Caenorhabditis elegans: one gene and its partner. The protein of the gene in region 1 purifies or fractionates together with the protein of each later gene. This does not show direct contact. Each region holds a gene or a part of one and is shown in the gene's direction. Other genes may lie near its edges. The genes, in order: Y48G9A.9 and Y57A10A.27.

Evidence for each region.
Region 2: the proteins of Y48G9A.9 (region 1) and Y57A10A.27 fractionate together in Caenorhabditis elegans (co-fractionation; one large-scale study listed by BioGRID). This does not show direct contact.

The regions. Positions count from the first base shown.
Region 1 is NC_003281.10:2,093,729-2,100,779, forward strand, and holds Y48G9A.9 (Protein-tyrosine phosphatase), read left to right. Parts: upstream 1-2,023; 5' UTR 2,024-2,033; coding exon 2,034-2,168; intron 2,169-2,256; coding exon 2,257-2,428; intron 2,429-3,383; coding exon 3,384-3,585; intron 3,586-4,322; coding exon 4,323-4,538; intron 4,539-4,776; coding exon 4,777-4,960; intron 4,961-5,729; coding exon 5,730-5,906; 3' UTR 5,907-6,148; downstream 6,149-7,051.
Region 2 is NC_003280.10:12,268,892-12,277,244, reverse strand, and holds Y57A10A.27 (Armadillo repeat-containing protein 4), read left to right. Parts: upstream 1-2,200; 5' UTR 2,201-2,201; coding exon 2,202-2,470; intron 2,471-3,611; coding exon 3,612-4,103; intron 4,104-5,803; coding exon 5,804-6,089; intron 6,090-7,125; coding exon 7,126-7,245; 3' UTR 7,246-7,433; downstream 7,434-8,353. Other genes in the region: tric-1B.2 (Trimeric intracellular cation channel type 1B.2), read left to right, coding at 672-816.

The DNA.
Region 1 (7,051 bases):
TAATAAACCTGTCAAGTGAGTGGTATGGGTCACCCCACTTAACACACAAACCTCCCCCGTCCGCCTCTCAAATGTACACATAACGTTCATTTTCTTGGTTTTTTGAGCAAAAAGTGAAAAGAGATATTCTTGGAAATTTTGAAATTTTATTGTTCTGTGCGACTTCGCACGTTTTAGTTATGATAACTTTTCGGAAAAAAAATTTCCGAAAAAAACTTTTTTTTGAACGTTTTTCAATTTTTTTTAGTTTGTATTTTGTAGAATTTTGTGAAAATTTTTATTTCAAAAAATACATTTGAAATATTTTACACAGTTTAATTAAAAAACTTGTTGAAAATCTCAAAAACTGACAAAGTTACGAACTTTTGAAATTTTCACGAAAAAAAATTTTTTTTTGAAAGTTGGGTCCCGCCACGAAAGCTCGTAGCGCACTGTAGTTTTGATGTATTTTGTTGTTTAATAATTTTTATTAAATTTTTCAAAAATTTAACTAAATTCAAAAACAAAAATCAGCTGAAAATCTTAAAAACTGGCAAAGTTACGAATTTTTGAAAAATCACAAAAAACAATTTTTTGAAAATTGGGTCCCACCACGAAAACTCTTGGTGTATCGTAGGTTTACGGCTAAACAAATTTGTTTGATTTTTTCCAAATTTGTAAATGTTTTACCTAAATTTTGAAACAAAAATTAACTAAAAATCTCAAAAACTGACAAAGTTATGAATTTTTGAAAGTCACATAAAAAATCTTTTTTTGAAAATTGGGTCCCGCCACAACTTTTTGGTTACTGTAGTTTCTGAGGTTTTTTTGTATTTTTTAAATTTTTTCAATTTAATCAGTAGTTGTAGTTGAGCTATATATTAAAACAAGAATCATTAAAAAATATCAAAAACTGACCAAGTTATGAATTGTTTAAATTTTTGAAATTTTTTTTTGCAAAAAATTCACAACTTATTCAAATTTTCTATATATAGCTAATTTTTGCTGTAAAATTCAGAAAATCCACTCAAAAATTTATGGAAAATTAATTTTCTGTCGTTGTGCTCAAACACTACAGTAACCCAAGATTTTTCGTGGCGGGACCCCACAAAAAAAATTTCCAAAAAAAAAAATTATTTTTAGAAATTATTTTTCTAAATTATTATACGTTCGTGGTTTATTTTGGGGGGGCACACAAACCAACAATAGCAAATAATAGATAAAGTGCGTCAAGTGTTGTTGAACATCGATATCCCCTCAGGCACACTTATCCCCTCTCACTCACTTGCCACCTAAAAATATCTATTTTCTGACCACTTGTTCCGTTTTCTCTGCACTTTTTTTTGTGATTTTTTGGGGTTACTGTAGTTATAGAAATAATCAAAAACCTGAGAAAAAGTTTTGGGAAAAGTTTTGAAAATTTTGGAAAATTTTTTTTTTTTGAAAAATATTATTTTTTTCTATTTTTTTTCACAATATTCACTTTTTTTTATTTTTTAACTAAAATTTTGAATTTCTGATTTTCAGACGTTCAAAATAACCCCCATCATTCCCAGGTTCTGGCGATTTTGAGTTTTTGGGTCTCACCACGCTGGGTACTGTAGCTATGGTTTCAGCTGTGTCGGAACTCAAGTTCAGCTGAAACTAGGCATGATGGGTGTTATTTTAAAGGTCTCGGTGCGGTGAACCCAAAAAAATAATTTTTAAAAAGTTTAGTTTAAAATTCACGGGAATATTTTGAAATTAGATATTTTAGGCAAAAAATCAATTCAAATTTTTCGAAAATTCGTAACTTTGTGAGTTTTTGAGGTTTTCAGATGGTTTTTGTCTTAAAATGTGGGAAATTGCTGGCTTCAACTTTACAAAAATGTCAGTTAGGTCAATTTAAATCCCTAAAAATAAAAACAAAGTCTTGAAAAAATATCCGAAAAAATTTCAAAAAAAAATTTTCTTCAAGATGTTTTCTATCATTTTTGAGTTGTTTTTTCTTTTTTCTTTTTTTCTTTGAAACCGTTATAATTCCAAAATTCGCTCCAAAATTTTCAGAAATTAAAATGCGCTGTAGATTCTCACGTGGCAGAATCAAGGCAGTCTCGTCGGTGCCACGTGGCACACCAATTTATCAGTTTTTTGAGGCTCCGGATGCAAACAATAATTACGATGAAAATGAGCACAAAATTTATAAAAAAGTTTGAGATTTTTTTTGGGAAAAAATTAAATTTTTGAAAAAAAAATTTTCGGACAAAATTTTTTTTTGATAAAAAATTGAATTTTCAGACAGATGATCACCACAGAAAGTATGTAGAAACTCTGAACAACTTTATAATTGCCACTGAAAAGCTGGGAATCGAAGGTTTGGCGAAACAGTACCGGAAACTCGATGCCCAGCAGGACTCCTCACTAACTTTTGAGGCTTTTAAGCAGAATATGCACAAAAATCGATATTCAGGTGAGTTGAAAGTTTAAAATTTGAGTTTGGCGTGAAAAGAGCTTTCAAACAAGTATAATCATGCCAGGGTTCTGAAAAAAAAAAATTTTCGGAAATTTTTAAAATTTCGAGGTCTCGCCGCGAAAAGTCCTGACTTTTTCCTGACTTTCATTTTGGGCACAAATTAGGTTATTGTATTTTTCTTCGACAATATAAATATTAATGTAATTTTTAAACAAAAAATTAGCCGCAAATCTCGAAAATTGGTGGAGTTACGGATTTTCGAAAATTTTCGAATTTTTTGAAAAATTTTTAAATTTAAAAAACCACCAAAAATGTGGTTTTTTGGAGCCGATACAGTTTTGAAACTGCGATTTCTGGATCTTTCCCGCCATTAGCTTCAATTTGACCGCCAAATTCTCCAGGCCACGCCCACTTTTGAGAGTACTGTAGTTTAACGTGGTGGAGCCCAACTTTGACGGAACCTAGTCATGATGGGTGTCATTTTGAAGGTCTCAAAGCGATAATTTTGAATTTTCACATGTTTTATTTGCTGAGGCGGAAATTACAAAAATAAGTTTTTAAAATTTTCGAAAAACAATTTTTCCAATTTTTTAAAAATTCATAACTTTGTCAGTTTTGAAGATTTTAACTTGATTTTTAGCTTAAAATGTGCGTGAAATATTTTTCTGCTGGATTAAATTGCACATTTTATAACACTTCAAAAAAGTGTTTGCAAATAAATTTTTGAAAAATTTTTTTCTTTAATATTTTTTTTTTAATTTTTCAAAAATTCATAGCTCGGTCAGTTTTCAAGGTTTTGGCCTGATTTTCAGCTCAAAATGTGCGCAAAATATTAATGTGTTTGAAAAAATACAAAAAACCATAAGCTAACAAAATTCGTTAAAGAAAATATATTCGAAAAGATGTTTTTTTTTGTTGAAAATTTAAATTTTTTCAAAAAGTCAATTTTCAGACGTGGTATGTCGCGACACTACACGAGTAAAGCTGACAATTGACAAAAGTCGATATGAGGATTATATTCATGCAAATTACGTAAAAACCAATTACCTGAGGAACACATTTATCTGCACACAAGGACCCCTTCAGCACACAATTATCGATTTTTGGAGGATGATTTTTCAGGAGAGAGCTGAGAGCATTTTGATGCTCTGCAAGTGAGTTTGGAAATTTTGAGAGCTTTCAGAAAAGCATAAACTCGATGGTTTTTGAAAAAAAAAATTTAATTTGGAACAAAATTTCAAAAAAAAATTGTTCTATGTTTTCAAAAAAAAATCTAATTGTTCCGAATTTGAAAACCAATCAATAATTCAAACTCTACTCATTGAGCCCTTCAAAATGACCCCCATATTGCCTATAATCCGACAACTTTCAAAATTTTTGGGTCTCACCACGAAGACCATCTGGGTTACTGTAGTTATGTGCTTTTTGTGGGTTTTCAGATTTTTTAGCGTTAGTTCATTTTTTTTTTTGCAAATTTTTTGTCTAAAATAAGGCGGAAATCTTTAAAACAAGCAAAGTTATGGTTTTTCGAAAATTTACGATTTTTCTTCGAAAATTATATTTTAAACTACAGTAACTCGTTGAAAATCGTGTCGAGATCCTTGGTTGGGTCCCGCAACGAAGGATACTGTAGTTTTCGTGGCGGGACCCGAACCTAGTCATGATTATACTTATTTTGAAGGTCTCATTGAGCTAAAAATAGAAATTTGAAAGTTTGCGTGTAAAAATCGACATGTATAAATCAAAAATTATAAAAGAAATTAGAATTTTCGAAATTTTTCGAAAATCCATAACTTTTCCAATTTTCCACATTTTTTGATGGTGTTTGTTTTAAAATTTGCGCAGTTCCTCGCACTACCCGAGAAAAATATTAAAAAATCAATAACTCCAGAACAATGGAAGAGGGCCGCCCGAAATGCGTCGGCTACTGGCCATCACTTGGCGTAACAGAAACATACGGGTGCATACGTGTCACAAATATGGGCGAATCGTCCGATGAATTTGAAATTTGCAATTTAGCAGTGACATTTGTGCCTGACAATGTGCCGGTCGATGAGCAGCCCGCAAATTTGAAGGAGCTCAGAGTTAACCTGATTAAATGGCCAAAGTGAGTTAATTTTTTGGAAAATTTTGAAGAAATTAGGGAAAACACACGAAAAATCGATAATTTCAGCGAAAACGCTGAGAAAAATCGATCATTTAGCACAAATTTACACAATTTTCCGAAAAATCAATAAAGCAAAAAAATTATCGATTTTGAAGGAAATTATTGATTTTTTTTTTGAATTTTTTTTTTTTGGAAAATTGACATTTTTCTTCAAATTTCACAACTTTCTTTCTTGCAGTTGGCCGGACCGCGGTGTGCCCGACGAAAAATGTCATACAGTACCCCAGCGGCTGTTGGCTCAGGTGCGGCACGGCCCTTGTGTGGTACATTGCTCCGCCGGGATTGGAAGGACCGGTTGTGTAGTTGCTCTGGAATTCGCTTATAATAAATTGGATAGAGGACTGAAAGTAGACTTTGAGGAGGTAAGGATTTGAGGGAAAATTCGAAAATTCTTGAAAAAAAAATTTTGTTTTGGATTTTTTTCTTACAATTTCGGATTTCAAGAAACATGATGGAGATTTGTTATCAGTTCCCGGAAGCGTTTAAAATGACCCCCATCATGACCAGGTTCCGACGATTTTGAGTTTTCGGGTCCCGCCACGCTGGGTACTGTAGCTATGGTTTCAGCTGTGTCGGAACTCAATTTCAGCGGAAACTGGGCATGTTGGGTGTCATTTAAAAGGCATTGATAGGCTGAATTCTATTTTACTCTCAAAAATTTTTTAAAAAATCCTTAAAAAATAAAATTTAGAGAAAAATGCTTTTTTTTTTTTGAAAATTTAAAGAAAAGTTTTTTTTTCGAATTTTTACTTTTGCAAACTAATTTTTGAAAATTTGAATCTAGCTCACCGAGACCTTTAAAATGACCCCCATCATGACCAGGTTCCGACGATTTTAAGTTTTTGGGTCCCGCCACGCTGGGTACTGTAGCTATGGTTTCGGCTGTGTCTAAACTTAAAATAGACGGAACCTAGGCATGTTGGGGGTCATTCTGAAGCCACGAAGTGCTGAACTTTAATTTTTTAACTTTAAAGTAGTAGTTGTGGCCTAAAAAATTTTGCCCGGGTTTTCTAGGCCACCAATTTCAAATCGCCGTAACTTGGCTTAAAATCGATATTTTTGAATTCTGAAAAATCCCATCGATTTATTGATTTTTCGTCTATCAATTAATTTTTTAAATTTTAATTTCAGATCATAACAGAACTCCGAAAACAGCGCGCCCAATGCATTCAAACAGAAATTCAATACCTCTACATCCATCGTGTCATGATTGCCTTCGCACGCGGGGAGACGGACGTTTCGGAGAAGGCTTTGGCAGCTGCCGACGCATTTTTGAAGTCTTATGATGAACATTTGAAGAAAATTTGAATATTTCTTGCCGTAAAAAATTTTTTTTGAAAATTTTTTTTTTTTTTGAAAATTTTTTTAAAATTTTTTCGAAAAATAATTTTTTAATATTTCTATTTTATCGATTATTTCTCCAGACTTTTTATTGATTTTTGCAAAAACCGGTGTCCCATTTTCCCCCAAAACGCTTTTATATCAATTCTCAGAGCCCCCATTATTGATTTTTGGTACTTTTCCGCTAGTCAAATGAATTTTTCCTTATTTTTCCAATTTTTTCCAAATTTTTTTCAGATTCTTTATTACAGATCAACCATGTGATAAATGTGTCAGTCAGTCACTTGCCACATTTTTTTTTCAAAAATTTTGATAAGAATTCCGGTGATAAGGAGGGGTTCTAGTGTAGTTTTGATGAAAAACTGTCATTTTTTAATGTTTCGTGACTAATTGGGTGCAGTTCGACTCGGTTTTGACGTTTTTCCTAATTATTTTTGAATCAAAACCGTATAAATTAGGTTGTGTACCTTTAAAATTGTCATGTTCGCTTCGAAACCCACTTTTTTCACACTTTTCTAATAATATTTGAATTCAGCACACTGAGACCTTCAAAATAAGTATAATCATGACTAGGTTTGAGTCCCGCCACGAAAAGTACAGTACCCTTCGTTGCGGGACCCAATTTTCGCGGAGAGACCCCAAAATGACGGAGCCTAGCCGATATGGGGCTTGTTTGAAAGCTCTGGAAACGCTGATTTTGAAAGTTCAAATTTCAAGGGTCTCGAAACGATATTCACCAAGTTATGGTAGTTTTAATGTAGAATTTTTTGGAAAAAAATCGAAAATTTTCGAAAATCCATAACTTTGTTAATTTTCAAGTTTTAAAATTGGTTTTAGTCTCAAAAATTTGGAAATTTTACTGAAAATATGAGAAAAATCATTTCGCCGCAAAAAAAAACACAAAACTACAGTAACCCAGTAGGTTTTCGTGGCGGGACCCAAATGTTTTCGATTTTCGTAAATTTCACCGTAATATAGCCGATATTGGGGTCATTTTGAAGGTCTAAGCGTGACAAATTCGAATTTTCACGAAAAATTCGGTTTTAATCATTTTTGAAATTTTTTTTGGAAAAAAAATTATTTATAAAAAAATTATTTCTCAAAAATTTTGT
Region 2 (8,353 bases), on another chromosome or scaffold:
TTTTTCATGAAAAATGCATGAAAAACGCAAAAATTTTTAGGAAAAAAAACTTGCAAAAATGTGATTTTTCGTTGCATTTTTCATATGAAAATTTGATGAAAAATCTGAAAATAATACAATTTTAGCTCGAAAAGGCGCTTTTTTTGAATAAAATCATTGAAAAATCTAGCAAAAATGCAAAATTTGGACCTAAAAATCGAAATTTTTAAAACGAAATATCTCAAAAATGCGATTTTTCGTATTAAAAAAATGTACAATTTTAACTTAAAGTTGTAGTTTTTGAGGAAAAATGTCAGGAAATCTCATTTGTTTTGCTCAAAAGCCACGAAAAATCGCATTTTTATATGAAAATTCAATAAAAAATCGAAAATTTGCGTTTTCCGAGCAAAAAAAGCCTGAAAATATTACAATTTTTGCTCGAAAAATACGAAAAAAAAAATCGTAGTTTTTGGTGCAAAAATTCAACTCAAAAACCATAAAAAATTGCATTTTTCATATGAAAATTCGGAAGAAATTTCGAAAATATTACATTTTTAGCTCGAAAAATTGCATTTTTCATGTGAAAAATGCTCTAAAATATTAATTTTTGGCCTAAAAATCTGAATTTTAGCTCAATTTTTCCACTTTTCCCCCCAAAAAATCCATTTTTAACCAAAAATTTTCCATTCCAGAGCCGTCGACGCCACAAAAAAAGCCATACACAGTAATCGTGTACTATCCGAGGAGGAAATTCTGTCAAAAGAGCGGGAAAAAGTGCTGAAAAAGAAGAAGCTGCTCGCCCAAATGTCCAATGGCACGGATAAAAAGAATAATTGATCTTTCTTTAAAAAATAATTTCTGTGAATTTTCATATTAATCCCCTCGTTTAAAAAGAGCCAAAGGCTCATTTTTTCCCTATTAATTTTTAATTTTTTTGCAGTTTTATCACCCCACTTGCCATCCAAAACTCGCCGCTTTATCCATGTTTCTAGTCACTAAAAATTTATAGAAATTAGCAGAAATTTCTGAAAAAATCGCAGAAATTTGCTGTAAAATTTTGGAAAAAATTCGGAAAATTCTGAGAATTGGAGCATTTTTTTCCCGAAATTTTTATGAAAAATTGGGAAATTTCAGCTAATTTTTTTCAAAAACTAGTCAAAAAATTTTACAGCATTTTTCTTTTTTTTACCCCGTCTAGATTCCCATTTACTCTTTAAACAAATATTTTTATTTTCTAACAATTTTTCCAAATTTTCTCCCCATTTCTCTCGGCCGGGTACTAACATTTTACTTGAAGTATTACGTTTTTTTTGTTTAAATAATTTTATTTTTTATTTTTTAGAGCGATTTTTTATTGTAATTTTTTTTGACATTCAGTTTTTGAAACTGTTTTATATTTTAATTTTAATTTGCGAAATTTTCAGATTTTTTTCCGAAAATTTCGCTGAAAAATTTAAAAAAAATTATTCAAAAAATTGGAATTTTCCCGAATTTTTAGAAAAAAAATTTGAAATGTTTTCATTTTTTTTTAATTTTTTAAAAATTCAAAAAAAAATCAGATTTTTAGAAGTGATTTTTTAAAAAATCTCAAAAAAATTTATTTTTCTGATATTCCTCCAATTTATTCCAAAAAATTTAATCCAAAATTATCAAAAAAAATATTTTAAAATTCGAAATTTTTGATTTTACCAAAAAAAAAAATGTTGCACTTTTTTTTTGAAAAAATTGCAATTTTTTGGAATTTTCAAGAAAATTCCAATGAAAAATTCCTTTTTTAAAAATTTTTTAAGTAAAAAATCACAAAAAATTCAAATTTACTCCGATTTTCTCGAGAAAATAAAAAAAATTCGAATTTTTCTTCAAAAAAATCCGAAAATTGGAATTATCCCGAATTTTTGGCTGAAAAGGTTGACAATTTTTTGAAAAAATTGCAGAAAAATTGGAATTTTCAAGACAATTCCATTAAAAAATTCCCTTTTCTATAGAAAATCACAAAAAAATTCAAATTTACTCAAATCCCTTCTTATTAAATTTAAAAAATTTCCGAAAATTGGAATTTATTGAGAACATTGCAACAAAACTTTGCAATATTTTTTCGAATTTTTCAAAAAGAAAATCCGAATTTTTAGCTGAAAATTTAAACATTTTTGAAAAAAAAAACCCCCCCAATTTTTATAATTTTTCACTAGAAAATCTGAAAAAAACCCAAAAAAATTTCCAGAATGCACCTGTCGCTTGATCTCAACGATTTCCTAAAAGTCGACCTCACCCGGCTCGCCGAGGACGACGAAACACACCAAAAGAGCACAAAAAAGCACACAGAACTGCTCATCGAGCTCATCGATCGGAAATCGACAAAAGCTTCAGCTCTCGCGAGAAAAGTGATCCGTTGGCCAATTGGACAGACTCTTCCAACTCAAATTGCTTATAATAATGGAGATGAGCAACTTTTGATTGTTGGACCAACTTCTGAAGCTCTTCTTCCAATGCCGTACGGTTTTAGTGGCTAGAATTTGGAATTCGGACAAAAATTTGGGATTTTAGCAAGAAAATTTCAATTTTTTCATAGAAAACTGTAGAAAAATCAATTTTTAAAATTAAAAAAAAAAAGTAAAAGTCCGAAAAAAAATTCTCTCGGAAAATTCTACAATTTCTAATTATCCGGGAAAAACCCTTCTAGAAGTCGAAAAATTTAAAAAAAATAGAGAAATTTTCAACAAAAAAAAGGTTTTCAGCAAATTTTGAATCTGAAAAAAAAATGAGGTGTCATGAAAAGTTTGAAAATTCCAAAAAAAAATCCGAAAAAACGGACAAAAAACCATTTTTTTTACAAAAAATAGAGTGAAAAATGCGAATTTTTCGATAAAAAATTCTAAAATTAAAAGTTAATTTTCCAGAAAAAATCACAAAAAATGTATTTAAAATTACTAAAAACCTTCTAAAACCTCCAATTTTGTTTTGCATTAAAAAAAAGAGATTTGATTTTCCTGAAAAAATTATAAAAATTTCAATTTTTATTGCAATTTCCAAAAAACATTTTTAAAGCCAATTTTGAGTCAAAAAAAAAAATTTAAAAAATCAAAAAAATGGAGTGAAAAATGCTAATTTTTCGATAAAAAACCCAAAAAATTTCCAATTTTTTCGGAAAAAAAGCTTTTATCGAAAAACCCGAAATTAAATTTTTAAAAAATTCGATTTTCAGTGAATTTTTAATCCGAAAAATGTTCCAAAAAATACTAAAATCTCATTTTATTACAGCAAATCAAAAAAAAAATTGTTTTTACACAAAATAGGTATAATTTTTCTAGGAAAATCGAGAAAACTGTAAATTTTTTAGCCAATTTTGAGGCAAAAAAAAGAAGTAAATGAAGTAAAAATGCAAATTTTTCGATTTTTATTAAAAAAGTTACTTTTTTAGAAAAAAAAAAACAAAAAAGCTCGATTTTCGACCATTTTTGAATCTAAAAATCACAAAAAATTGTATGAATTTCTTTCAAAAACTGTCTAAACTCGATTTTAAGCCAATTTTTTGAATAAAAAAAAATAAAAATTTAAATTTTCTTCAGAAAATGTAGTGAAAAATGCTAATTTTTCGACATAAAAATCACATAAGACCTCAAAATTTCTTTCAGAAAATCAAAAATCGACGCTCTAACAGCGACAGCCATCGCGAAATCGGGTCCCACCACGAAAACGAAAACGTTCAGCTCATTTGCCGTCAATCCAATCGATACATTTGACACGAAATCTCTATTAAAATCAATTCAAAATTGTATTGAAAATCCGGAAAAAGAGAAAAGATGGAAGCAGCTGAGCTCGAAACTTGACGAAGAATGCTCCAATGGAGAAGCTGCTGGAGCTCTTTCGGCTGTTGAGCAGTCTCAATTGCTCACCGCAATCCGCCGCTACACGGATGACGTGGATTCGGAGCCCGAGACGCTTCATGTGGTGCTCAAAGCGATTGCCACGTCGAGAGTGCTCTCTTTTCGAAATGAGGACGGTTTTTTGAGAATGTGCATTGAGAAGCTGAAGAGCAATACGGAAATTGTGGAGCATGTGCTCGCCGATGGAGCACGTGTTGTGTCGGAATTTATTTTGGCTGAATTGTTGAAGCTTGCTGCTGGGTATGGAGATGACTATGAGCAAAAAATTTAAAAAAAAAAGAAGCAATTTTTCCTATGAAAATACGTACAATTTTCACCTAAATTCGTAGTTTTTCGAGCAAAAATTGCGAAAATCTCACTTTTTTTTGCTCAAAAGCCACGAAAAATAGCATTTTCCTTAGAAAAATTTGAAAATATTCGAAAATGTACGTTTTCCGAGCAAAAAAGTCTGAAAATATTATAGTTTCAGCTCGAACAATCGCATTTTTCGAATGAAAAAGCGCAAAAATCGTCGTTTTTTCGTGCAAAAAATGCGAAAATATCACCTTTTTTTTTTGCTCAAAAGCCACGAAAAATAGCATTTTGCATAGAAAAATTTGAAAAAAATACCAATTTCAGCTCGGTAGCTTCGAAAATTTTCGTTTTCCGAGCAAAAAAGTCTGAAAATATTACAATTTCAGCTCGTAAAGTCGCATTTTTTTTAAATAAAATTTATGAAAATTCTTAGTTTTTCGAGAGAAAAATCCACGAAAATTGCATTTTTCGTATGAAAATTTACAGAAAAAATTTAAAAATTGGTGTTTTTTCGATCTGAAAACACCAACAAAAAAAAACTGAAAACTTTCTGGAAAAAAGAAAAATATCGCATCAAAAATTGCCTTTTTTTTTGAGAAAATCCAGAAAAATAAGTTTTTTTTTCGATTTTCTCTGAAAAAGAGAAAAATTTTTTGGCTGTTTTTCCATATAAAATCCAAAAAAACAAAAATTTTACTATTTTTTATAAAAATATAAAATCGGATATTTTCCAGATTTTTTAATTGTGTTTTTTCAAAGAAAGTTTTAAAAAAGGGCATTTTTGAAAGGTTATTCCTGCTTTTTTTCAATTTTCTCTGAAATCAACAACAAAAAACGGAAAAATGTTTAATTTTCTCAGAAAACAAATTCAAATAAATGGTGTTTTTTCGATCTGAAAAACAGCAAAAAAAAAGTGAAAATTTTCTGGAAAAACAGAAAATAACCTACCGAAAATTTTGCGTTTTTTCCATATAAAATCTTTAAAAAAAAGGAAATTTTTTAAAATTATTTTTCGTGTTTTTTTTTCAATTTTCTCTGAAAACCACAAAAAAAAAAACGAAAAAATGTTTAATTTTTTTCTGAAAACAAATTCAAATAAATGGTGTTTTTTCGATCTAAAAAACGCTTTAAAAACTGAATATTTTCTGGAAAAAAGAAAAAATCGTACCAAACATTTTTTCTTTTTCATATTAAATCCGAAAAAAAAAACATATTTTTCTTGAATTGAACTAAATTGGATTTCGGAAAACGAGAAATTTATGAATTTTTAATTTTTAATTTTCTGTTTTTTTTTTCGATTTTCTCTGAAAAACGCCGAAAAAATGAACATTTTCCGGAAAAAAAGAATAAATCTAACAAAAGGCTTAACGTTTTTAAGAAAAAATTAAAAAAAAAAAAAATTTTCCGGAAAATTTTACGATTTTTTGAAAAAAAATATTGATATTTTCAGATTTTTTGTTAAAAAAAAATCAAAAATTCCGAAATTCTCGAAAATTGGCTGTAATTTAATCTAAATTTGACAGAAAATTATCGAAAAATTATCGTTAAAAATACGAAAAAAAAATTCAAAATTAGTCGAATTTTGTCAATTTTTCTCGAAAAAATTAAAAATAAAAAAAACTAAAAAACTAAGCTTTTTTTTCCAGAAAACCGTCCGAATCCGAGCGCCGAGCCCAAGTGAGCCAAGTTCTTGCCCGTAACTTCTCTAAAATTCCAATGACCGAAGCTTGCGGAGCCGTGCTCTCCGTCACCGAATCCATCGAAATTATGACAATTCTCACTGAAATCTACCGTGAATCACCGGATATTTCCATCAGTTCAAAAGCTCTCACACTGATTACTGTACTTATGGATGCACATGGTTCACGTATTGTATATGAGGATAAACTTCATCACAAATTCGCTGCGATCAGCAATTTTATTATTGAAATGGTACGGAAAGTGCTGGAAAAAGTGATTTTCCGCTGAAAAATTGGCCAATTTTAGGCTTAAAACGATGAAAAATGTGAAATTTTGAAGGAAAAGCCATAAAAATGTGGAAAAAATAAATTGAAAACGACTTTTTTTTTCTGAATTTTCCGTTTAAAAAACTGACTACAAATTCAAATTTCTCAGAAAAATTTGGCGGGACTTCAAATTTTAGTTTTATTGAAAAAAAAATTAGAAAATTTATTTTCAAAAAAAAAATCAAAAAATCTCCGATTATTAAAGAAAAAAAAAGAAAATTGTAGAAAAATCAATTTTTTCAGCAGAAAATTTATCTAAAATTCGAAAAAAAAGTGGAAAAATTGCAATTTTCTTTGAAATCCGAGAATAAAATTGTTCGATAAAAATTCGAATTTTGATGATTTTTTTTTTGGAAATTTTCCCGAAATTTCTACAAAAAAAATTGAGCAATTTCTTTCAAAATTTTCTACTAAATTGTTCAGAATTCAGTGATTTTCGGGGTTTTGGCGCGAAATTTGAATTTTATTAAAAAAAATTTTTTTTTAATTCTCCGAAAAAAATTCTTATTTTCGCCAATTTTCAAGAAAAAAATTTTTTTTCTTAAATTCAAAAAAATTGAATTTTTCAGGAAATATAATCTTTTTTTAACACGAAAAAATTGCGAATTTCAGAAAAACATTTTTTTCAAATTTCCCAAAAAAAACACTGAATTAATATTTTTCAACAATATAATTTTTTTCACAATATTTCTGAAAAATTACTAATTTTTTTGTAAATTTTTGAATTCCCGCCGGCAGAATTTACTGATTTTTTCAAAAAAATTTCAGTTAAAATCGATAAATTAGCTGATTTCAGATTAATTTTTTTGCCGAAAATTGTCTGAAAATTTTACGAAAAAAAAAAATTTATATTGCAAAATTGAAAAAAAAAATCATAAAAAATTTAGCGTTTTTCAAATTTTTTAAAAACTAATTTTCATATCATTTTCTATAATTTAAATCTATTTTTTCTATTTTTCCAGCAATCCCTAGTCGGAACCTTCGCTCGACTTGAAGCTGCAATCGACGAGTGCTCGGATACCCAGGCAGCGAATAATGTTGTGATTCGTATGCATCCAGTGGCTCATCCCATTAATTGGTAGAAGAAAATTCGATTTTTCTGTTTTTTTTTCAAAAAAATTGGCTAATTTTGTGATTTTTAGCAATTTTCTGAAAAAATCGTTTTTTTTTTCTCATTTTTAAATTGTTTTCCTTGTTGATTTGTTGTTATTCATTTTGTTCTGGAAATTTTGAATTTTACCTCATTTTTTAAATAAAAAAATCTGCGAAATTCTGAACTTCTTTTGTTGAATATCCGGATTGCTTCCAATTTTTTATTTTTATTTTTCTCCATTTTTTTTTTGATTTTTTTTTTGTAATTTTCGGTTTTTTCCAGGAACTTGGAAAACGCCATGCGAGGGATTCAAGGATTCACGAAAAGGTAATAATTTTTTTACGAAAAAAATGCTTTTTTGAGTGCTCAAAATTGGTTAGATGAAATTTATTAAATAAAAATATGGGAAATTTTTATTTAAAAAATTTAAAAAAATTTAATTTCCAAAAATTTCAGCGATTTTTGAAAAACAAATTGTTTTTAGCTCTAAAGCTCGATTTTTACCCTGAAAATTATTATTTTTTTGATTGAAAATTTCCGTAATTTCAAAAAAAAAATTTAGAGTTCAAAAATGGTTGAATTTCAATTTTATCATCAAATTTTTATAACAAAACTTGCTTTTTTGAGTAAAAAAAAACTAGATTTTCACTGAAAAATTCCCAAAAATCCAGTTAAAAAGTTGCCAAAATCCGCCCACACCTGTTCAGCAACATTTTTTCTTTAGTTTTCTTCAATTTTTTCCTCCTCGTTCTCATTTCCCGGGGGTTCGGCACCGCCGGAAAAATTAGTGTTATTCTCTTTCTCATCTCCTCTTCCTACTCACTCACTTAGAGCTTAACAACATCTGTCGTAGGCGCTTCCCGCCTCCGGCGGGAGGCTTGCAACCGATAGCCCCGCCGGGCGGCTCCGAGAGCTCCGAGATCAGTGTAAAGGCAGATCTCTCTCTCTCTCTCTCTCTCTCTCTCTCTCTCTCTCTCTCTCTCTCTCTCTCTCTCTCTCTCTCTCTCTCTCTTTCTCTCTTTCTCTCTATTCGACTCGGCTCATTGGCAGAGCATTGATATCATTGGCTCTTTACGAAACACACACACAATAAATAC